Arabidopsis thaliana: one gene and its partners. The protein of the gene in region 3 purifies or fractionates together with the protein of the main gene of each other region. This does not show direct contact. Each region holds a gene or a part of one and is shown on either strand. Other genes may lie near its edges.

What was found.
Region 1: the proteins of ARP4 (region 3) and AT3G49830 purify together in Arabidopsis thaliana (affinity purification with mass spectrometry; 2 studies listed by BioGRID, with this or other methods). This does not show direct contact.
Region 2: the proteins of ARP4 (region 3) and SWI3A purify together in Arabidopsis thaliana (affinity purification with mass spectrometry; 2 studies listed by BioGRID, with this or other methods). This does not show direct contact.
Region 4: the proteins of ARP4 (region 3) and SWI3C purify together in Arabidopsis thaliana (affinity purification with mass spectrometry; 2 studies listed by BioGRID, with this or other methods). This does not show direct contact.

What each region holds. Positions count from the first base shown.
Region 1 is NC_003074.8:18,480,497-18,484,481, reverse strand, and holds AT3G49830 (P-loop containing nucleoside triphosphate hydrolases superfamily protein), read right to left. Parts: upstream 2,234-3,985; 5' UTR 2,100-2,233; coding exon 1,348-2,099; intron 1,212-1,347; coding exon 542-1,211; 3' UTR 502-541; downstream 1-501. Other genes in the region: AT3G49820 (uncharacterized protein), read right to left, coding at 2,760-3,245.
Region 2 is NC_003071.7:19,529,998-19,534,971, forward strand, and holds SWI3A (SWITCH/sucrose nonfermenting 3A), read left to right. Parts: upstream 1-1,949; 5' UTR 1,950-2,036; coding exon 2,037-2,094; intron 2,095-2,249; coding exon 2,250-2,770; intron 2,771-2,865; coding exon 2,866-3,312; intron 3,313-3,472; coding exon 3,473-3,612; coding exon of another isoform or gene 3,613-3,670; exon of another isoform or gene 3,671-3,697; coding exon 3,698-3,747; intron 3,748-3,833; coding exon 3,834-3,979; intron 3,980-4,077; coding exon 4,078-4,254; 3' UTR 4,255-4,474; downstream 4,475-4,974. Other genes in the region: AT2G47610 (Ribosomal protein L7Ae/L30e/S12e/Gadd45 family protein), read left to right, coding at 184-228, 348-549, 708-1,006, 1,088-1,180, 1,273-1,404; AT2G47630 (alpha/beta-Hydrolases superfamily protein), read left to right, coding at 4,640-4,669, 4,812-4,908. UniProt on the Arabidopsis thaliana protein: Component of a multiprotein complex equivalent of the SWI/SNF complex, an ATP-dependent chromatin-remodeling complex, which is required for the positive and negative regulation of gene expression of a large number of genes.
Region 3 is NC_003070.9:6,346,197-6,352,554, reverse strand, and holds ARP4 (actin-related protein 4), read right to left. Parts: upstream 4,508-6,358; 5' UTR 4,357-4,507; coding exon 4,344-4,356; intron 4,255-4,343; coding exon 4,163-4,254; intron 4,048-4,162; coding exon 3,883-4,047; intron 3,806-3,882; coding exon 3,732-3,805; intron 3,657-3,731; coding exon 3,576-3,656; intron 3,486-3,575; coding exon 3,425-3,485; intron 3,288-3,424; coding exon 3,238-3,287; intron 3,096-3,237; coding exon 3,041-3,095; intron 2,836-3,040; coding exon 2,758-2,835; intron 2,681-2,757; coding exon 2,627-2,680; intron 2,553-2,626; coding exon 2,499-2,552; intron 2,430-2,498; coding exon 2,369-2,429; intron 2,214-2,368; coding exon 2,162-2,213; intron 1,814-2,161; coding exon 1,747-1,813; intron 1,622-1,746; coding exon 1,559-1,621; intron 1,475-1,558; coding exon 1,412-1,474; intron 1,316-1,411; coding exon 1,253-1,315; intron 1,158-1,252; coding exon 1,093-1,157; intron 1,005-1,092; coding exon 936-1,004; intron 835-935; and 3 more. Other genes in the region: AT1G18440 (Peptidyl-tRNA hydrolase family protein), read right to left, coding at 4,869-4,982, 5,058-5,134, 5,218-5,276, 5,456-5,529, 5,615-5,665, 5,779-5,846, 6,068-6,152, 6,223-6,358. UniProt on the Arabidopsis thaliana protein: Involved in several developmental processes including organization of plant organs, flowering time, anther development, flower senescence and fertility, probably by regulating the chromatin structure.
Region 4 is NC_003070.9:7,619,495-7,626,069, forward strand, and holds SWI3C (SWITCH/sucrose nonfermenting 3C), read right to left. Parts: upstream 4,673-6,575; 5' UTR 4,485-4,672; coding exon 4,469-4,484; intron 4,331-4,468; coding exon 3,800-4,330; intron 3,274-3,799; coding exon 2,735-3,273; intron 2,579-2,734; coding exon 2,221-2,578; intron 2,129-2,220; coding exon 2,055-2,128; intron 1,860-2,054; coding exon 1,774-1,859; intron 1,679-1,773; coding exon 1,611-1,678; intron 1,510-1,610; coding exon 1,334-1,509; intron 1,238-1,333; coding exon 662-1,237; 3' UTR 507-661; downstream 1-506. Other genes in the region: AT1G21695 (hydroxyproline-rich glycoprotein family protein), read left to right, coding at 1-291; OGG1 (8-oxoguanine-DNA glycosylase 1), read left to right, coding at 4,945-5,588, 5,806-6,016, 6,133-6,375. UniProt on the Arabidopsis thaliana protein: Component of a multiprotein complex equivalent of the SWI/SNF complex, an ATP-dependent chromatin-remodeling complex, which is required for the positive and negative regulation of gene expression of a large number of genes.

The DNA of each region.
Region 1 (3,985 bases), on a different chromosome or scaffold from region 3:
GAGACAAAATTAAGCCATGTCATCATCATATCTGCATACACCAAAAAAAAACATATTTAAGCTTTGTGACACATTCATTCATCATCAAACAGTAGCAGCAATAACCTTGGCAACAAAACATGTTGAAGGAACTGTAAGCACATGACCAAACCACTCAACTTCTCCCCAAATTTCACAACTTTCTTGTTTTTCAAGAGCAATCTCCGCGCACCAAATCTTATTCTTATAGCCGTTGTTACTACAAGGAGATTGTTCGACCCACAAAACCGCCATCTTTCCACCATAATCAGCCAATTGAATACAAACATTAGGTGAGAACTTAGGTAGCCTTACCAATTAACCCTTCAAACGTCTCCACAATCTTACCTTTTTGTCATACCATCTTATCGCTCCGTCAAAAACACAGTACAAAACGTTGTCTATCTCTCAATGAGAACTCGAAAACTTGAAAAATTCCATCTTTTGTTCAACCATGTCCCATGAGTCCATGACAAAATGGGGTGAAAAAATAAGTTCTTGAAAAAGCAATAAAACAAAATTCTCAAACTTCCATGGCCTCGTGTTCTGTTTCTTCTCCTGCAGTAGCCTCCTGTGTGTTTTTTATAGGCACGCTAAACAAGTACTCGCTCTCATGCTCAACCAAGTACTGCATCGATCTCTTGGTGTCTAAAAACAATCTATAAACTCTCTCAATGTCCTGAATCTCTACGACTTTCCCTTTACGTTTCAGGCAAGCTAGGGCAGCTGCATTGATTAGATGAATCGCGTACCTAAGCGAGGTATTACATCCGATCAAAGTCAGAAGCTGTTTCGCTTCCTCGTTCATCTCCACATCCTCTTCTTGGCAACGGATCTCTAAAATATTTCTGATCTCGTCTTGTGTGTAAGGCTGTGTTGTGATAATAAGAAGACGGTCAAGAAAATCGATTGGGATCCCATGTGCTGATATCTGGTTTGTTCCTCGGATTGTTGTCATTCCTCTGTTTGTAGCCACGACCAGGATTGGTGACATATCGTTTTCGAGAGCTCTATTCAGGAAAGAGAAGCATTCGATATCAAGCATATGGACTTCATCAATGAAGAGAACACCAGGTACTATTTCAGCTTTCCCTTCTTCTCTCCACTCTGCCACTTTAGTATCGCTTTGCTCTCGGGTTTCTGAACGAATCTCGCCTGTATCACCTGTGAAGAGGGCTAGATACCCTTGAGTCCTGCAAACAACAGAAAGAAAACAAGAATCCAAATAAGAACTTGAAAAAGCATCAATACGTGAAAAAGAAGCAATCTTTTTAACCTAAACCTAAAACTAAGCAATTGACAAATACAGAACAAGATCAAGAAACAAACCTGCTATTAATAACATCAATCTCATGAAGTGTGACAGAATGCAAAACCTCCTTCCTCTTCTCAAGCTCACCTTCAGGGCACTGCACAAACTTAGTCTTTGAACCCATAACATCAAAATCTCTAGACCTCGTAAAAGATCTTCCAAGCTTAGTAATCTTCCCACAAAACCTATCCAAAACAATAACATCACCACTCTGTACTTTCTCCTTATCCAATGGCTCAATCAATTTCCATCCCAAATCAAAATTAGATTCCATATCAGTCGTCTTCATTGTTATCTTCCCAGTCTTCTTCACAGAACCACCAGAAGAAGCAGGTCTATCAATCGAAATCGTCACAACTTCTCCTTCTATCACGTCAGTCTCTTCTTTGATCCTAACACCAATAGCTTTACGAAAAGCTTGAGTTAAAGCTTCAGTCTTTGACATCTCTAAAGAAAAGATCTCACTTCCTGCAATCATAGTGAATGGTGTTTCTTGTCCAAGTGATTTTGCTATACCCATTGCTATTGCGATTTTACCCGTTCCGGGTTGACCCGCTATAAGTATAGCCCGACCCGAGATTTTGCCGTCTCTGATCAACTCGAGGGTTACTCCGGCGGCTTTACGTGCTTTGATTTGACCAACCATTCCTTCGGATACGGCTCGTGGCTCGAGTACTGAGTCGAGACCTAAACCTCGTATGTGTGAGTGTGCTCCGATTCTTTCGATCCTAGTTAAGTCTCGAGTTTCTGATAACCTTAGTTCTGCCATCGTCGGTTGTTGAGTTCACCCGAGGAATGAGACTTGGCTTTTACTAGGTTTAGACTTTGGAGAATCAATCACCAGAGTCTTTCTTCTTCGTAAAGGTTTAGCTTTATTTATATTAAAAAATTACAAGATTTTGTTTGATATATATTCTTGTTAATTTACTTATGAGGAAGTTTACATTTATATATATATATATATATATATATATATAAATAAAAAGATAGTTTTTTTGTTTTGTTTTGGAATCTGTAAAGATATTGCAGACAAAAATAAAATTGAGAAACTTTTTTTCTTACAGCAAAAATAGTAATTGATAAACTTTCTAAATTATTATTTTTTGTGCTTGTGGTTTTGAATTTGTATTTTATGTTTGTAATTTTGTGAAGTTATTGTGGTTAAAAGAAATTAATTTTTGTTGTAATTTGTTTTTAGAAATTACTCATGATATTAAAATCATGTAGAACTGCATTGGTTGTTAACAAAACAATGTGAATTATTTGCATCACCACTTTTAGAATCGTATGTAATTTTTTTTAACATCAATTATAAGTAATACAAGAAATAATATTAAATGATACAAAATGATTTTTCTTTTCAAGTGTTTGATCCATATTTCTCAATAAGCACAATGCAACAACCTAATAATAAACCTAAAAATCAAAATCAAAATCGTCCTAGAGGCTTATGTTTTTGGTCAACAGATGGTTTTTCTATTTCTTTTGTAAGAATCTCGCAATTACCATAATCAAGAAAAGAGTCTTCTTCTTGAAACTCATCATCATCATCACAAGACATCTCCTCATCTATTCTTCCCATCACAACAACGCATCTATTGTTCTTCCGATGATCCAAGGACAATGATTGTCTCATTGCAATCGTAGGTTGTCCGCCACGTGTCAGACAGCCTTGATCATGTGCCGCCGACGTCAAGGTAAAGCTTCGAGGAAGGGCGGTGCTAGGCGGATCGCAGATTTGGAAGTTTCCGGAGAGTTGACCAAAACCAGATGATCCACCACCGGAATAAATTCCGGCGCCGGAGCATGACGTAATGCTTCGTATGTAGGCGTCACGTGCCATGATCAACAGACGAAAAGGAGCCTTAACCAACCATACGAAGCAGTTCTCTTTCTCTATGACTTTCGCTTTCATTATTGGATTCTCAAGAGTATCGAAATCAAAGTTGTATATATGTAAATATATAACCTTTTAAATATATTATAAGAGACGAAGAAGAAGAAATGCTCAAAGATTTCAAGACACTAAGACAGGATCAAAGAGAAGACAAATCCATGATGACTGTTGTAAATGATAATAACAAAATTATGAATGTGATCTATTCTTAAATGTACCTAGTTGGATGATTAAATACATTTCTTTCAGTTAGATGTTTAAATTTATTAAGGTGTTGTTGCCTTGTTGGCAAATCAGTCTTAACTTATTTCATATAATATGGACACCAATTTAAATCTGGATATTTGAGATGGGTTAGTTAGTAGTTAAAAGGGTATAATGGCTTGGTTCAACTACTTTCTTCAAAGCATGACGCTTGGTATGATAGTTCGGCCCATATATTAAATTTGATCCAATGTATAGACCCAATAGATTAGCACTCTTGTTTGCATCACTACATTACTCTAACCCACTATCGAATACTACAAAACTTTAACTGATTATTGAATCCTATCGTTTGGGATTAATTTGGTTCCAAAGAAATTCATGTGAGGAGATCACAAATAAATTGTTATCGAGATTTGGCCATTACTCTAACTTATCTAGAGCGACAAATATAATTTATAACTGGAGGTACACTATTTAGATCCTAGATTGTAGGTTTCGAAAATCTTGGGCGTTACAAGCAAAAACTCTTGGTATCATTGAATCCATACGTC
Region 2 (4,974 bases), on a different chromosome or scaffold from region 3:
ACATGGGTTTCGATTTCCTCTCGGTGGTAACACCATCATTGCTTATCTGCTTTGGATTTAGCTTTTGATAGATTTGGTAGTTGATATAGCTTATGAATCCATCTAGAAATTTGCGTAGAGAGCAATGTCACAAATGTTCTGTGGTTACTTTATCAATCTAATCACGCCACGATTTGGTTTTAGGCCCCGAAGAAAGGAGTGAAGGTAGCTGCTAAGAAGAAGACCGCGGTATGTTTCATTTCCAATTCTCTTCTTCTTTTTTAGGTTTTCGAACATTCAATTTGTTCTTTGTTGTTGTTTTTTTCTTTCTTGCTGAAGTTTTGTGTTTTGATTTCTGATTTCTCCAGGAGAAAGTTTCAAACCCTCTATTCGAGAGGAGGCCTAAGCAATTCGGTATTGGTGGAGCTTTACCTCCTAAGAAGGATCTCTCTCGCTACATCAAATGGCCCAAATCCATCCGTCTTCAAAGGCAAAAGAGGATCCTGAAGCAGAGGTTGAAGGTCCCTCCAGCTCTTAACCAATTCACCAAGACTCTTGACAAGAATCTTGGTATGTCTATTTCATTCTCAATCTACTCTTCAAACATTTACTACTTGCTGCTGTTAATTTATTATTGAAATATTTACCAGTTCTGGTAAATCTTGTGTTGCTGTAACCTTATAAGAAGACTTCGGTGCCTTATTTATATTCGTTATTGATAATTGCAGCTACCAGCCTCTTCAAGGTCCTTCTGAAGTACAGGCCAGAAGACAAAGCTGCCAAGAAGGAGCGTCTTGTAAAGAAGGCCCAAGCTGAAGCTGAGGGAAAGCCTTCTGAGTCTAAGAAGCCCATTGTAGTCAAATACGGCCTCAACCATGTGACCTACCTCATTGAGCAGAACAAGGCCCAACTTGTTGTTATTGCTCATGATGTCGACCCAATTGAGTTGGTTGTCTGGTTGCCTGCTCTGTGCAGGAAGATGGAAGTCCCGTACTGCATTGTCAAGGGCAAATCTCGTCTTGGAGCGGTATGTGTTGTGGGTGATTTCTCTCTAGTTTATAGCCACTAGCATGGAGAGTTAATCTTTATTTCTTTCTCTGACTTTCAGGTTGTTCACCAGAAGACTGCTTCTTGCTTGTGTTTGACCACTGTCAAGAACGAGGACAAGCTAGAGTTCAGCAAAATCCTGGAAGCTATCAAGGTAAATACTTCTTGTGACCAATAGAATGGTAGATTGTGTGAAACATATTGTTGGAGATTCTTATGATTGTGTTTTTGGGTTTTTGTCTATAGGCCAACTTCAATGACAAGTACGAGGAGTACAGGAAGAAATGGGGAGGAGGCATAATGGGATCTAAGTCTCAGGCAAAGACCAAGGCAAAGGAAAGAGTTATTGCAAAGGAGGCTGCCCAAAGGATGAATTAAGAGGCTAGCTTCTTTTGTTTGTGGTTTGCTCGGATTCGTAAAACTTAATAGAGCTTTTTGTTTAGCTGGTTCTTGAAGTACCTCTTTTTTAGTTGAACCCTTTATTATGGATGTTTTGCAATTTCTTGGGACAGTTTCAATGTTATTCAAGCTGCTGGATCCTCTTTGGTCTCTCAACCACTTAAAACTTGACAGTGTGAAATTTTAGCCAAATGCTTATTGCATTCTGGAAAGAGTTATAAGTTTAATTCTCAAATTCTTTTACAGTTCATCTCATAATGATGTGCGTAATTTTTGGTCTTTATGGTTCGATGTTGGAGCAACCATATCCCTAACAACTAGAGTTATATAAGTTCATTAAAATTTGTAGCTGAAGACCAAAAAGTTAATAGTAATAAGTGGGCTTGACGAAATAAAGTTAACAACAAGTGGGCTGATAACTAGATAACAAAGTGGGCTGATAAAATAAAGATTGGGCCCAGATTTTAAATTGAGTTTTATTATAATTGACCCAGCTTCGGGCAAGTTTTCGCTTTTGACCCTTAACTAATTATTCTCCGTGTGGTTTGGATTTGGCGATTGGCAATAGATTCATCAGAGGTTTTTGATATTGGAGGGAATCGGTAACGGGCATGGAAGCCACTGATCCAAGCGCAGAGATCGAGCTCTACACCATTCCTGCTCAATCCAGTATGTCTTCTCTTACCCTCGCCATGCTTTTAGATCTCTAGGGTTTCTTCTTCTACTCTTTTTACTCGCTCAACTGTTTCCGTCTCTTAGGTTTCTGCTTTCTATGGTTTGTTTTCTTTGCAATTGATTTGGGGATTTGTCTTGTTCTTTACAAGGTTGGTTCTTATGGGATGATATACACGAAATTGAAAGACGCGAGTTTGCGGAGTTCTTCACTGAGAGCTCAATCACTAGAACCCCCAAAGTTTACAAGGAGTACCGAGATTTCATTATCAATAAGTTTAGAGAGGACACTTGTCGGAGACTCACCTTCACCAGTGTCCGCAAGTTTCTTGTTGGCGATGTCAATTTGCTCCAGAAAGTTTTTCTCTTCCTCGAAAAATGGGGATTGATCAATTTTAGCTCTTCCCTGAAGAAAAATGACCATCTATTGTCCGTGGATAATGCTAAAATAGAACAAGGGACTCCTGCTGGAATTCGAGTTACTGCAACCCCTAATTCTCTTAGGCCTATAACCGCACCGCCCCTTGTTGAGGAAAGAGTTGAGACTGGCATCAAAGTACCACCGCTTACCTCTTATTCAGATGTTTTCAGTGATTTGAAGAAGCCGGATCATGTATTGGTTTGTGCGCATTGTGGAGAACGTTGCGATTCTCCTTTCTATCAACATAACAAGGTAGTTTTTTTTTGCTTTTTTTCGATTAGCATATTTCATACTCTCTAGTCTGTTTTGTTTATGCTTCTTTTTTTTTTGACATATGATGTTGGCAGGGTATAGTCAACATATGCGAAAAGTGTTTCAAGAATGGAAACTATGGGGAGAACAACACTGCAGATGATTTTAAGTTGATTGGGAATTCAGCTGCAGCTGTGTGGACAGAGGAAGAGATCCTCCTCTTGCTAGAATCTGTGCTGAAACATGGAGATGATTGGGAACTCATTTCACAAAGTGTTTCTACCAAGAGTAGACTAGATTGCATTTCTAAACTCATTGAGCTCCCGTTTGGAGAGTTTCTGATGGGTTCTGCTTCTGGAAGACTCAATCCCTCTATCCTCACCGAGGATGAAAACACGGAACAGGTGCAAACTGATGGGCAGGAACATGAGGAAACAGAGACAAGGGAAGAAAAAGAAGATCGCGTGAATGAAGATGAGCCTCCAGCAAAAAGGAAACGTGTTGCACTGATATCAGAGGGTGATAGTTCACTTATGAAACAGGTGAATGTTTGGTTAAACTATATGCCTTGTGTTCATTATTTTCCATATGAGTGTAACATTCGGGTTCTTCTCTGACCTTTAACCGTCGCAAAGAATGCCCTTTTTAACTCCACTGGAAAAGAATGTTCAAGAGATAACATGTTTACATATTGCACAACAGGTCGCTGCCATGGCAAGTAAAGTTGGTCCATCTGTCGCAACTGCTGCTGCAAAAGCTGCACTTGCAGCTCTTTGTGATGAAGCCTCATGTCCAAAAGAGATTTTTGACACTGATGACTACAGCAATTTCACAGTTGATAGGTTCGATTCTCTAAGCCCTCAATTTGCTTGTGGTTTGGCTTCTCATGTCCTACACTAATCTCAAGATACAAAACTTTGCTCACAGAGCCAATGGAGAGAAAGATACAGATATGGAGGAACAGCAAGAAGAGAAAGGTAAATTGTGTTGTGATTCAATCTGCATTCCTAGGTTTATAATGAAAGCTCAAGGCTTAAGATTTGGAATCGTTATATATTTGCAGACGGGCCTCAGGGTCTACCTGTAGCGTTAAGGATAAGAGCGTCTGTGGCAACAGCTCTAGGAGCTGCGGCTGCACAAGCGAAAATACTGGCTGATCAAGAAGAAAGAGAAATGGAACAGTTAGCTGCGACAGTAATAGAACAACAGGTTGGTTGTAACTTGTAACAACATTAAAACATTTGTGTCTGTTCCACTGTGTTTGTGTCTTGAACCGGACATGTTTTGCTTCTCTTTGTTGTACTCAGCTGAAGAAACTGCAGAGCAAGTTGAAGTTTCTAGACGACTTGGAATCGATAATGGATGAAGAAGAGAAAGTGATAGAGGGTGTAAAGGAAACAATCATCCAAGAGAGGGTTAGCGTTTTGCAATGCGCGTTTAGAAGCGGTATTACCAAACGTTGGGATCATACGTACGTGAAATGATCTTCTTCTTTCATTCGTACTTTTTTTTTCTCTTGGGGTAGAGTTGTTTTCTCATTCCTTATGGATTTGTTATGTTGACTTTTGAGGATTATATGTATTTAGTATTAATGTGTTTTATTGACTTAATGAGGAGAGTAGGTTTAGGTTACATACCTCTTTTGTCGATATGTCTGACCAATGGATGGGTCTCTCTACTAATTCACACGCGCCCAGTGTGACGTCAAATAAATAAAATTCCGAAAACATTTTCTGAGCTTTCCATAATTTGGAAAAAAGTGAATTGAAAAAAAGAACAGTGACACTCTTGTTTCTATAAATTGGTGAGACCGTCCTCAAAACCCCTTCGTCACCTTCAGTGTCTCTCTCTCAAGATCTAGCTCCGGTCATGAAGTCGTCGGAATTCCAATACCACGAGGTTCTCTCTCTCTCTCCCTCTCTCTGCTTAGAGATTTTAGATGTAGTAGTAATAGTTTAACAGGAGAGTGAAGATGTCAAGAGGTGTTGAGATGATTGATTAGATCTTTGAATAAACAAATATGTGTATGAATTGGTGACAGGAATACGTGAGAAATTCAAGAGGTGTAGAGTTGTTCGCATGTAGATGGATCCCATCTTCTTCGTCTTCTCCCAAAGCTCTGGTTTTCCTCTGCCATGGTTGCAGTTATTTCCTTATTATTTCTAAAAGCCGCTTTCTTCATTACACATAATAAAACTGAACAA
Region 3 (6,358 bases):
TCGGGAATCGAAGAGAAAAGAAACGTTTTTTTTTAAATTGTGAGTGTGTCTTTGGATTGAAATCCGATATATTAGGGGACGCCGGCGATTCTTACCGTCCACAAGAGAAGGTCGGTAAACGTTATTTAGAGAGACGAGACAGAGGTTGACACGTGGGCGTATATAATTGGATGATTTAGAATGTGTCATCTATTGGATTTTGCATGCGGATATGGAGACATGACACGTAAGTCTGTAGTGGCGGAGAAGTTACGTCCATTTTGTCTTTATTATTATTCAGACCATTTTATGATTAATAAAAGTATTATTACTTACCAATATCAATTACATTATTTATATTATTAATAATCTTGTGGTTCAAAACATTTTGCTATTCTATAAAATATGTTCGAAGACCGGAATTTTGGAACTTCGAAGTCATTAGCTTTTTGAGAGGCACGATAAAGCTGATTTTTTCTTCTTTTTTAAAAAAGAAAAAGAAAACTTATGAAGCTGCTTTTTGTAGTTTCGGATTTGTTATTTTCTTGTTAATTTTGTGGATTATCTTGGTTCGTAGTAACAAAACGTGGACGGTCTTGATTGTGCGAAAATCTAATAAAGCAACGAAACTTCTTCCACATGTTTTTATGTTTTTAAAATAGCACTATAATGCTTGTTAATGACACTCATTCTAAAAGGTTCAGGCGGAATACTAATAATCTTCAAGGAACAACGATGCACAATGAAAATAACACATTAGTTTCCAAGTTTCGTCTTGTCAGACTCCACATAATCTGAAACTGCCTGCTTTAAGGGCATTTTCTCTGAATGTAGGAAGCTCCATGTTCCTCATACCTGCCATTTACACCAAGACCCCAAATCCGAGTGTCAGGAGAGAAAACAAACTATAGTTTCTTTGCGAGTCTGATTAATGGAAAATCAGAACAGAGACTTACTCAGACTTGGAGAACCACATCTGTTGAAATGAGCCTAGTGATGCCAATATACTCCCTCCTATCCATACACTGCACATACATAACATGTTTGTTGGTTGATCCAAGCAAAAAAATTTGGGTCTCATTATAGAGGAAGAAGTGAACACTAAATCCAGACCTGAATCTTCTTTCTGTTGTGTTACCGCTTGCCAACACTTTAACTCTAGCTGAGTGAGGAGACTCCTGAAACAAAGATAGAGGGACCAATGAATGATTTTCGCCATCATAAAAACTGGGATAGCTTTAAAGACAGAGGAAAAGAGTTTAGGACACAATACTTCGATCAAGTCCTTTTCGAGACGTTCTTTCAGCTGTTGCATTGACGATGTGCCACCAGCAAGCTGGCATAATGCGAGAAGAAAGGAAATGTTAATCATCCACATCCAACGAAACTAAAAGTAGGGGTATTTAAGAGTTGGCATTGATTGCTATTTTACCAGTATGCTACTATACAACTCTCTCCGGATGTCTACATCACATTTGTTGATGCTCTCCATGACCTGTACAAGTCAGTAAAATGGAGAGTAAAGTTAGAAAAAGTTAAGAGATGGAAGCTTTGCAATGACTAAATACCATGCATATACCATGTGTGGTAACCCACGAACGGAAGGAATCATCTCAGCATACTTCTCCATTCCAGGAATCGTCTGCAAATTGCAATAAAAACGGAGAAGAAACCTTTGATAAATAATTCGAGGCTCAAAACGCTCAAGATAAGAAACAAAATGTCTTCAGAATCTTCTGTTGAATTTATCGTGCTCAAATGGTGTACCTGGACTATGGACGGGTTGAACATCACATCAGGAACTTTGAACCTATCAGCACCAATCTCGAGCGTCCTTCAACAGACATGGTTAATAAGATATTGAGAAAGACTACAAAAATTACAGGTGCAGCTTCCTGTCTTCAATGAAGCTAGCACTTTTTCTTTTAACTTAATTCTCATTATGAACATTAGGTTCCATGCAGGTTTCCAAAGCAATGTCTGACTCTTCTAAACTTTTATGCCCAATGGCTTTAATGACTCAGATCCAACTAAGCACTTATCTCAGCTTAAACAAGGTTCAGAGCAGTGGTACATTTGGCTAGAAACTAAGCTCAAACCTTATACGTAGAAAACAAAAGCAACAGTAGCATGTACATTTGAGGCACAAATAAACCGAAATAGACATATAAACTGAGCTTACTGGCCATCAGGAAGCTCGTACGACGTAGTAGGGATGTTTGAATATGATTTATCTGCAGATAAATGCATCACATCAGAAAAACTAAGGCTATGCGATCAAATGACATTGAAAGATAAAAAGTATCTAACGTTCAACTCTCAAGCAACTTTAAACTTTGAAATAAAACAAATTTATGAAACCAGAGACAGACAGAATAACATAAGGTACCGTCATAGGGAGTATCAGGAACTCGACAAATGGAATCCTTGATATCACCCACTATCATCCTCTGTTGAAACAAATCACCAAATTATCACAACTGAAATTTTCAAACGAAGTTTCATAATCAATTACAGACCTGGCAGAAGAGTTTGTAGCTTTCCGTGGTGTCAGGAATATCCACATCTTCAACCTGCAAGGATTCAAAGGGAGGAAATTAGAGACTATTCACTGCTAGTAGTTTCATTCACTGATCCACATATGCACCTGGAATTCCCCTGCTCGTACTTCCTTCCTCTTGAAAGAGTATCTAGGTCTTATCTGCAGAAAAAATAACCAGTATCACTCAGATAATTTGGCTTAAAAGAAAAGAACAGTGAAGAATTTTTTTAACCTACTTTAATTCCTTTACTCTCCAAGCTTTTCAGTAGGCAGTCAGTGAGAAATTCCCCTCCAAGTGGAGACGATACAACAGCCTGCGAATAAAAGTATGGTCAACAATCGGAGAATCACAATCTACATCAATGCTGTAGGTCATAATTCACATGGATGAGAATTTATAGCAGCTACAGATGACTATGGAAACGAGAGATGGGAAACTTTCTCCTGCAGTACAAAATCCAAACCCAAAGAAACAGCATCACAAAGCTGAATTCTTACTAAATCGTGTAATACAAGTACCTTCTGAAGAACATAACCATCATGCACCGGTGAAATGGTTGTGGATCCTCCACCGCTAGAAATACAATAAAGTGTCATCAGTGCTTCTCAAATTATACACCATACAGAACAAGGTAGACTTTCACAGCATATAGAGCAGAAGTGGAACATTAGTAGCTTCTACATACTAGAGAAACTTTTAATACTTAAAGTCTTACCAGTCAACAACCAAAGAAGTAGCACGCCCAGTAGCAAAAGACGTGAGAACCTAGCACCAAAAACACCAAATTCATGTAGATAGTTAGACATCTGATTACACAAGAGCTGACTGGATATCAACATTACAGTGAACGTCATATAATAATCTATCAAAAAGAATGATGACCCAAGGGAGAGGGAATATACAGGGTTCTTAGCCATAAACAGTGCCGGAACTTTGTACTTTTCAAACATTAGCTCTGCCGCCCTGTCAAGCATATGATTTGAGAAAATCAGTAACACACCAAGATAAAGCAACAGTGGTAATAAAGGATATTTCAAAGCAGATAAATCATACTTCTCTCTCTGCTGTTGAGTGTTTAAAGGAGGCTCAGCTAGCAGCATTGGATGCTCCGTAGGATCAATCATCAGACAACTCCTTAAAAGACAAAGTTTTTTTAGAGATGAAATGCAAACAACAATTAAGAGAAAATATAATGCTTTACACATTTACTTGAAAGCATGTTCCCATATATTGTCCACCAAATCCCAGTCAGAAACGATGCCATCTTTTATAGGTGACAAAACCTGGTGAGAGAAAATGCAATCTGTAATTTCACCAACAAAGTTATAAACTTTAACATTAATCAAGGAGAAAAACTAACCTCCATATGATCTCTGCGGTAGCTCATGGCTTGAGATCCTACATAGAGCTTGCGTTTGCTCTTTTCCTTTTCAGACTCGGTCTTCGAATCCTCAGAGTTCGAATTAGTCTTTGTAGAATCAACATCCACATCCATTGCCTCTACACCATCTACTGCCCCAATAACCTTATGAACACATCAAAAAAAAAACTAAGAGTCTGAAGATACAAGGGACTTGAGCAAATCTACAATAACACCATTAAGCTTATAGTGACATAAAATGCTGGTAATTAAGACTTACGGAAGGGAAAACGGCCTTGGGAGCATCTTCACCGGCGTAACCAGCCTTGCAAGTGTGCGAACCCAAGTCAACCACAATAGCTGACACTTCATCTGTGAAAACCCACCACGGAAAAAAACAGCTCAGGAATGTCTCAAAAGATAAACGACAAAGCAATTCAAGGGTTTAAAGAGAAACCCACCTCCGCCGTACATGGCTGCAGCGAACGACAAGGGTGGAGCGGTTCTCTATCTGAGCTTTGTCGCCGGAGGGTTTAAACACGGGACGGGGTTCTCTGTAATCTCGGATCCAGCTGAATCGGGTCGACTTGGTTTTACTGAGTTCGAGTTGTGGGGACCACAAAACCTCTCATTTAATCCGTCGGGTTTAAATTATTCAAGAAACTAACCGAACCGAACACAATTTTTCTAAACCGAACCAACTTTTGTGACCACCCTTTTTGCAGTAAACGAAGCTGATTTATTGCCAAATAAAATGTCTATGCTTAATGAAAGTGTATAATTTAAATTACAGCCGAACAAATACTGAAATCCATATTTTCGAGTTACATAATAGAAATTATGATAAACAAATAATCTGGTTATCTTTTGATGTACAATTTGCTCAAAAAGGATTCAAGTATGGAACCAAAAAAAAATTATTAATGAATCAGCAAGAACACTTTGTAGTTTGTTATATGAATATATGTAATGTAACAATGTCACTTCTAACTGAGTTGCTCCATAGATTTTCGAGTGTTGACAAATGTTGCACTTTTGTTGAACCCCTCAAGCAAAAGAATCCTTATTGCCTCTAACCCGGTTTGGAATGTGTGATCCAACTGCAAAACCAAAAACAATCAGGTTATGTCTTTCTGAAATTTTTTGAGATAATTATGGGATAAATCTGCTTCTACCTCTTCCTGTTCCTGTCTATTGAACTGGCGGAGAACAAAATTGGCTGTATCCATCTTCCCTGGAGGACGTCCGATCCCTGAAATGAAACATTCGACAATTTGCAAAACCAGAGAAGAAAATGGGAAGATATGTCGGAGTGGAGAAAAATGAGAACTGTACCTATTCTTAGTCGAGGAAAATCACGGCTACCTTTGAGGCGGTCTATAATACTTCTCATCCTGCAAGTAAAAGAACAACCCATCATGTTTTCTTGTAGAGTTTCTCTATGATTTGATAGTGAAACCGCAAACTATTATCCATCCACATTGCTTCTTAAGTAAAAAGTAAGACAATACTTAAAAGTTAAAACACAAATGAAAACATCAACAGGCCAGATAGAGAGTGAAAAGCATTGTACCCATTGTGGCCTCCGTGACCACCTTTTGGCAATAAACGTAGTTTACCAAAGGGCAAATCTAAATCATCGTAAACCTGAAAAAGACAAAAAAAATTAAGACGGCATATGCACTCTAGAGCCAGAATTTGGAGAGTAAGCGAGAGAGAAGGTTAAGTATACCACAAGTACTTGCTTTAACGGGATCTTGTAAAATGAAACGATTTGTCCAACCTTCAAAGAATTCCAGCAATCATAAACAGAAAGAATCAAAATAACAAGTGATAAAAGTTAAAGAGATTGGTTAACTAAATAAACCAAAGTTTGTTTCCGATGAGCTCACTTACAGACTCACCACTTAGGTTCATGAAAGTTTGTGGTTTAGCCAGCATAATCGGTATATTTCCAATAACGCCTATGATAAAGGAAAACAATACCCAAAGTTAGAAACAAACCAGAGACAGAAAATGATATTTATTTCAATATTCATTCTCCGGAAACAGTTAGCCATTGTTTCTATCACCCTCATCAAACATTTGAGACGTATGAAATTTGAAAGTTTCAAACTTTGAGATAAGAAAACCATTTCAAAATGAAAATTCACAATGGAGAAGATAAGAGAATGAAAAAGAGAACCTTTCCCAAACAAGGCCTTGAAGTTAACAGTGTTCATGGAGATGCCTTCTGCATCAGCCAAAGCGTCCACCATCTCAAAACCAACCTGCAATTCATGATCACGTTACCGAGCTGAAAAGGAAAATGCAAAGTGAGAAAGCAAGAGAGAGACATACGTTGTGGCGCGTGCCCTGGTACTTCTTGCCGGGATTACCCAAACCAACAATGAGCCATGGCAGCTGCAGTGGCGGAGATTTTGGCTTCGAAGAAGGTAAAGCTTGAAGTAACTCTGATTCCGGTTGAGAGGAGAAT
Region 4 (6,575 bases), 1.3 Mb from region 3:
CCCAAGTCATTATTTGGGTTGAAAAAGAGTAAGAGCGGCGATTTAAAAAAGACCGGTCAGCAGGAACCATCATCAACAACATCGGAGTCTGACAATTTCTATGAATCGGGAACAACGCTTTCTCCGTCGGAAGAAGATTCTAGCCAGGGATCGCCGGTATCTTCGAGGTGGAGTTCGCCGAAATCGTCCTTCTCTTCTCGCCGTGGTTCGCCGCTAAAACGGACTGATTCGGATTTAAGCTCTTATGAGAAAAAAACCATGTTAATGATAGCTCGTTCCCGCCTTGGTTAAATGGTTAGGCTTAAAAAAAAAAAAACATCTTAGAGATTAATCAAATAAAAATGATTTTGAGTTTTTCATTGCGACAAGAACGAATATGTTACATGTAGATTTGTAATGAAATTGTCTATATATTATCGTCAAAATGAATCGAGTTAAAAGACCCCTAATGTTTGAAGAGTAGAGAAATGGTTGTGGGAAAGAGAGACATTAAGATTGGTGACTGTTTTAATTCACAATGATGATGATGATGGTTTGATACTACAAGACACTAACTTGGAACAAGACTACGGTCTCAAAGCCAAATAACTTATCTTTAAAAATAACAAGGTGAAATAAATATGGATACTGATAAGCTAAATAAGCTAGAGAAAGATGGATCTTAGTTTAAGCCTAAGCCGGACCCTGAGCCTGAACCTGTGGAAGACCTAACCATCGGGTGACTAAACGAAGGCTGGTTGATCGATGCTGCTCCAGCTGCTGCAGGGTTATTTAGTTGGTTGTTGCCAAACATGACGTTTGGTGAAGCTGTTGATCCTGCATTGGTCTGTATTGCATTGAGAGGTAATCTCGGGCCAAACGAGAAAGCTTGCTGTTGTTGTTGTTGTTGTTGTTGTTGTTGTTGTTGTTGTCGTGCCATGAAATGCATCTGTGCTTGAACTTGCGGGTTGTTGCTGAATCCTGGGATTATGCTTGGTTGAGAAGTTGCGGAAGCTTGTTGTTGCTGATGTTGCTGATGCATGAGAGAATTGATGTTGTTACCACCTGTGGATAGAGACATGCCTTGGAGATTATTAGTCTGTGGAGAGATTCCTCCAGGAGATCCAAATCTTGCTGAGAGCATACGAGCCCGTTCTGCAGAAAATCTCTGACGGGTTTTCTCTACTTGTTCGCATTCTTTCATCAACAGTGTTTCAATTTCTGCGAACTGCTTTAATTTCAGCTCCATCCTCTTCAGCTGCGGTTTTTACTCAGATCAGCAATAAACACTATACAACAAAATAAATCAACTACCTACAGTAATTCTCATCAGCAACTGGTTCTGCTATTTTACCTGGTGATTAACGATATTAGCAGAAAGTCTCTGGATTTCGCGTTCCTCATGATCAGCAAACAATTTTGCTTTTGTTGCTGCAGCTGATAGACCGGCTCTAAATGCTGCCATAACCTTATCCTGTGGCAGTGGAGTCTGCGCTTCTGCTCCGTTTTGGCTTGATGTTTTGTGTGCTCCTGAGTTTTTTTTACAATTAAAGCATGTTGGTGTCGCAGATTAGGTTAAAACAAAAGAGCAAAGAATCACTGTAAAGAGAACAATCAAATAACTTCCTTACCATCTTGCTGTTGATTTTCTCCATCAAGCAAGCTGGCTTCTTTCCCTTGCATTCCCTCAGATTTCATCCTAGATCAAGAAGTTTCAGAATAGTCCATAGTATTATTAAACTGAATCACACTACAGAGAATTTATATTGGATAGAGACTATATAATACACTAACCTATCGTCCTCAGATAAAACCGAGAGGGATTCATGGGCACAGGACGCAGCAACTCGAGGTCCAACAGCTGATGCCAAAAATGCAACCTAAAATATTTTGGTATCAGGATCCTCATATCTCCAAACTTATGTGCAATACAGGACCATTCTCCACTCAAAATATGCATACAATTGAGCTCTCAGATATAATCGATTCATGGATCAGAGATATCTCTAACTGGTGAGATCATAAGGATAATAAGAAGCGCATATGAAATCTGCATCGGAAAAAAGTTCACAAACCAATGCCATAACCGGATTCGGAGACTTCACAAATGGAAGCTTGATCTCAGTGTCAGAACCTTGCTCGGAATATCCTGCAGACGCAAGCGGACAATTAGTATGGCATGTCAAAGGAAATAACTATGGAAAGTAATTCATTGCTACAAATTGAATAAAACAAAATCACCAGGTAAATCCCCATTTGAATCTGTTCCTTTGTGGTCATATCCATTTGTAGGGTTTTCCGTATTAGTTACACCAGAAACCTCAACATTATCTAATAGACCATCCTCCACAGGTAATCGAAGAAAATGAAGAATGCATTGAGCTTTTGACTTGGAACCAACATGATCAGCAATTTGAACCCAATTTTCATTGTAGAGTTCCACAGCTTCAAGAAGCAAGAGAGTTTCCTGATCAGTCCAATTGTCTCCATCTTGATCGCCATAAAATTTCATTGGATCCACTCTTACAAAGTCAAGACAAGAATGTCCAACAACAAATCTTCCATGGTGAAAACAATCACAGCATAAGAGTATATCCCCCTGTAAAGTAGAGATGAAGATCCTTTAGTTAGAAGCGGTCCAGTATCCGAGACAGTAAGCAAGATAAAGCTTGGAGTCTATTACATCACTGGGTGCAAAAAAGAATCAGATAATGATACACAAAGAACAGTACGTAAGGGGAAGCAGCCTAAGAACCTTCTTTTGCGATTGGAAGTACACAGTTGGAAGCGGTCGAGAACAATGGTTGCAATGACTATCACATAGGTGTTCACGAATTCTGATGTCCAAGTCAGGGCTGTCACCATCCAAACTTGGCAAGGATGAATAGACTTCACCCCCCTTGTGTCTACAGTTGGGCTTGTCAAATTTGATCAAACTATCAATAGATGTTAAAGCAGCAGACGGCACATTGACCTCGCCATTTGTGTCCTCCCTCACATCCGATACATCTCTCAAAGGGCCAGGATGTGACTGGGCAGTGGCACAGTAATTGATTATTCCCCAGTGATCAAGAAAACGGAAAACTCGTGCAAAATCTTCAATGTCAACACCATCTACCAATCCTTGGCAATCAGAAATCGTCAGTGTCTTTTCAGGGTTCTCTACATATTTGGAAACAATGGCGTTCCTGAATTCCATATAACTTTCGGGTGTATGATTTGGCGATTTCCCAGAGAAAAACTGTGGCACCACTTGCCTTTCAAGTCGATCTACTGTGTTTGGTGCAAACCAATCTGCTCAAATGTAACAGCAAAAGTAGAAGAATAAATTCGAGCATTGGGAACAAAAATATCAGAAAATAAAAATAAAATAAGAGGAGAATCTCGATATATTTGAGCCATAGGACTCCAGGAACAAAACCCAAACGAATTAGAAGAACATCACTTGCATAGTCTATTCAAGTTGTACTTCTGAGATAAGACACCTAAGGCTACTTCAAGCCAGCAGGTACTCTAATTTATCATGTACAAAAGTTATAATACCTCTTCCTTTCCATCAGACAGAACATGGGAACATAGAGAAACATCTGATATGAAATTGAGTCGCGTTCAGATTAATGTAAACTAAGAACCAGGCACTAGACAAAAGGAAGATAAGAACTTATACGTTAAGGAGATACCGGCATACAAACCTGTTTTGACTAATTCTCATTCCAATCACAAGATATATACTACAATACTACCAACCAGCAAAAGCTGATGCTGCATAAAGCCTAACCTCTAACATAAATGCGCGTATCAAGAGGAAGAAAAAACACACCTGAATGCATAGGCAAGACATGAACCAGATCCCCAAACCGTTTAACAACTCCTTCTCCATCCATAATAGGTGGTGGAGAGATAACATAAGCCGAAGACGATCCATCACTCCTCTCAAGATCAAGAGAATCAGCAGGTACAGTAGATAACGCTTGCAATTGCCCAAACGAAATGTTCTCCAGAGCTGGAAGTGAACCTTGCCCTCTAGTCTCCCCTATCAAACCAGCTCTCTCAGCCGCCACAACAGCCATTACAGACGCGTGTGGCCGGATCACAACACGCTTAACCACTGCCGGGAAATCAGAGATGCGCGAACCAGAATCTTCAACTACCTCGCCAATACCAAGTCCCGGATCGGGAGTTGCGCCGCCGTTTTGCTGAAGCTCATCGGCATTTTCAACGTCATCCATTTCTTCGTTGTTGTTGTTGTTATTCTCTTCGTCTTCTTCCTCCATATCTTCCTCCTCTTGTTTCGGTTTCCTCGCCGCCGATAACCCCCCTCTCTTCTTCCTTTTCCATTTCCCTCTTCTATCTGCGACAGAATTGTAAAAAGTGTAATTCAATTCACACGAATTCTCGAAATACCCATCACTACGATCTATGTGGGTAAGTCAAATCCCAATTTAAATTTGGATTTTGAGAGAGATAAAGATGTGAAACAGCAATTTACCTTCAGAAGCTGGCATTTTTGTGGATGAAGATAGAGAAATAGAGGTTTTGGGTTCTGTGGAATCGAAGCAAGACCCTTAGTAAAAAGAATTGCTTTCTTTGTCTTCTCTCCTCCGAGTCGTTCTGATTTCCAGCTCTCGAGCTAAACACCAAACCTTTTTCTCGCAATTTCTTTCACCATTTCCTTCATTAATCTCTATATATTAATTCATTCTCCACGACGACCTAACCTTCTCGACAAACAAGAGGGTTCTGATTTCGAAATTCAAGCTTCGTTGACCAATCCAAATTTTGGTTTAACTTCGGTTAAAGTCAACTTTACTTCGGTTTTATTTTTCAATTTTGAATGAGAAAAACCGAATCAATTATTTAGTTCGGTTCTTAAAGTTCAAATTGGTTAAACCGGTTTAAATTGATACATTAGTCGACCGTCGCGCATTAATACTGGTGTGGTGGTTCCGTTAACGAGCAACGGCGATGAAGAGACCTCGACCTACATCTCAGCCGTCGATCTCTTCCACCGTCAAACCACCACTGTCTCCGCCGGTCACACCGATTCTCAAACAGAAGCTACACAGAACAGGAACACCTAAATGGTTCCCGTTAAAACTAACCCACACGGAGCTGACGTTGCCGTTAACTTTTCCGACGGGTCAAACATTCCGGTGGAAGAAAACTGGAGCGATTCAGTATAGCGGAACGATTGGGCCTCACTTAGTCTCTCTTAGACAACGTCCAGGAGACGACGCAGTTTCCTACTGCGTCCATTGTAGCACAAGCCCTAAATCCGCGGAGCTTGCGTTGCTCGATTTTCTCAATGCTGAGATCTCGTTAGCTGAGCTATGGTCTGATTTCTCGAAAAAAGATCCTCGTTTCGGAGAGCTAGCGAGACATCTCCGTGGCGCTCGTGTGTTGAGGCAGGATCCGCTCGAGTGCTTGATACAGTTTTTGTGCTCATCGAACAATAACATTGCGAGGATTACGAAGATGGTGGATTTTGTTTCGTCTTTAGGGTTACATTTGGGTGACATTGATGGATTTGAGTTTCATCAGTTCCCATCATTGGATCGATTATCTAGGGTTTCTGAGGAAGAGTTTAGAAAGGCTGGTTTTGGTTACAGGTGATTTCATCACTCTCTAATGGTTGCATTATGTTGAATTAGACATTTAGGCTAAAACTTTGCTTGAAGCTTATACTTTTATTTACTCTGTGGCTATACATTCATAGAATTGAAGCTAATGTTTGGTCTAAGCTAGATAATCATTGTGTGGCCGTTTCTCTGATTGGTTCTGATCTCATTTGAAAACTCTCATTCTGGTTTATCTTGTGGTGAGCAGAGCCAAATACATAACAGGTACAGTGAATGCTTTGCAAGCAAAGCCAGGTGGTGGTAATGAATGGCTTCTTTCTCTGCGCAAAGTCGAACTCCAAGAGGCAGTTGCTGCGCTGTGTACATTACCTGGTGTTGGTCCGAAGGTAGCAGCTTGCATAGCTCTGTTTTCTCTTGATCAGCATAGTGCTATTCCGGTTGACACACATGTCTGGCAGGTAACAAAGTCCATCGGTTTCTATGTATTGTACTTACTTAATTGAGATCCAATTACATAATGGTGATGATGACTTCGGGCAACTTTTTTTTTGTTCTGTTTTGGATAATGGATCAGATCGCAACAAATTATCTACTGCCAGACCTTGCTGGTGCAAAACTGACACCTAAACTCCATGGCCGAGTTGCAGAAGCCTTTGTGAGTAAATATGGTGAATATGCTGGTTGGGCTCAAACATTGCTTTTCATTGCCGAGTTACCTGCACAAAAAACTCTCTTGCAATCGTTTTCCCAGCCCATTAACAAACTGGATGAGTCTGCAGAAGTTAATGAAACTAGCTGTGATACGTTGAAGCCATGACTATGTGTCTACCTAAGCTACGAGGAATCGTTTTCACAACCCATTCTTGATGCGTCAAGTCCAGAAACTTGACCTTGGAAGAGCTAAGAAAATTCTGAAGCTGATGCAGTATTTGGCTCCCTGGCAAATGAGCGTAGTTATTTGTTATGATCATTGTTTACTAAGGAACCAATCTTGATATGTACTTGTAACTTTACATT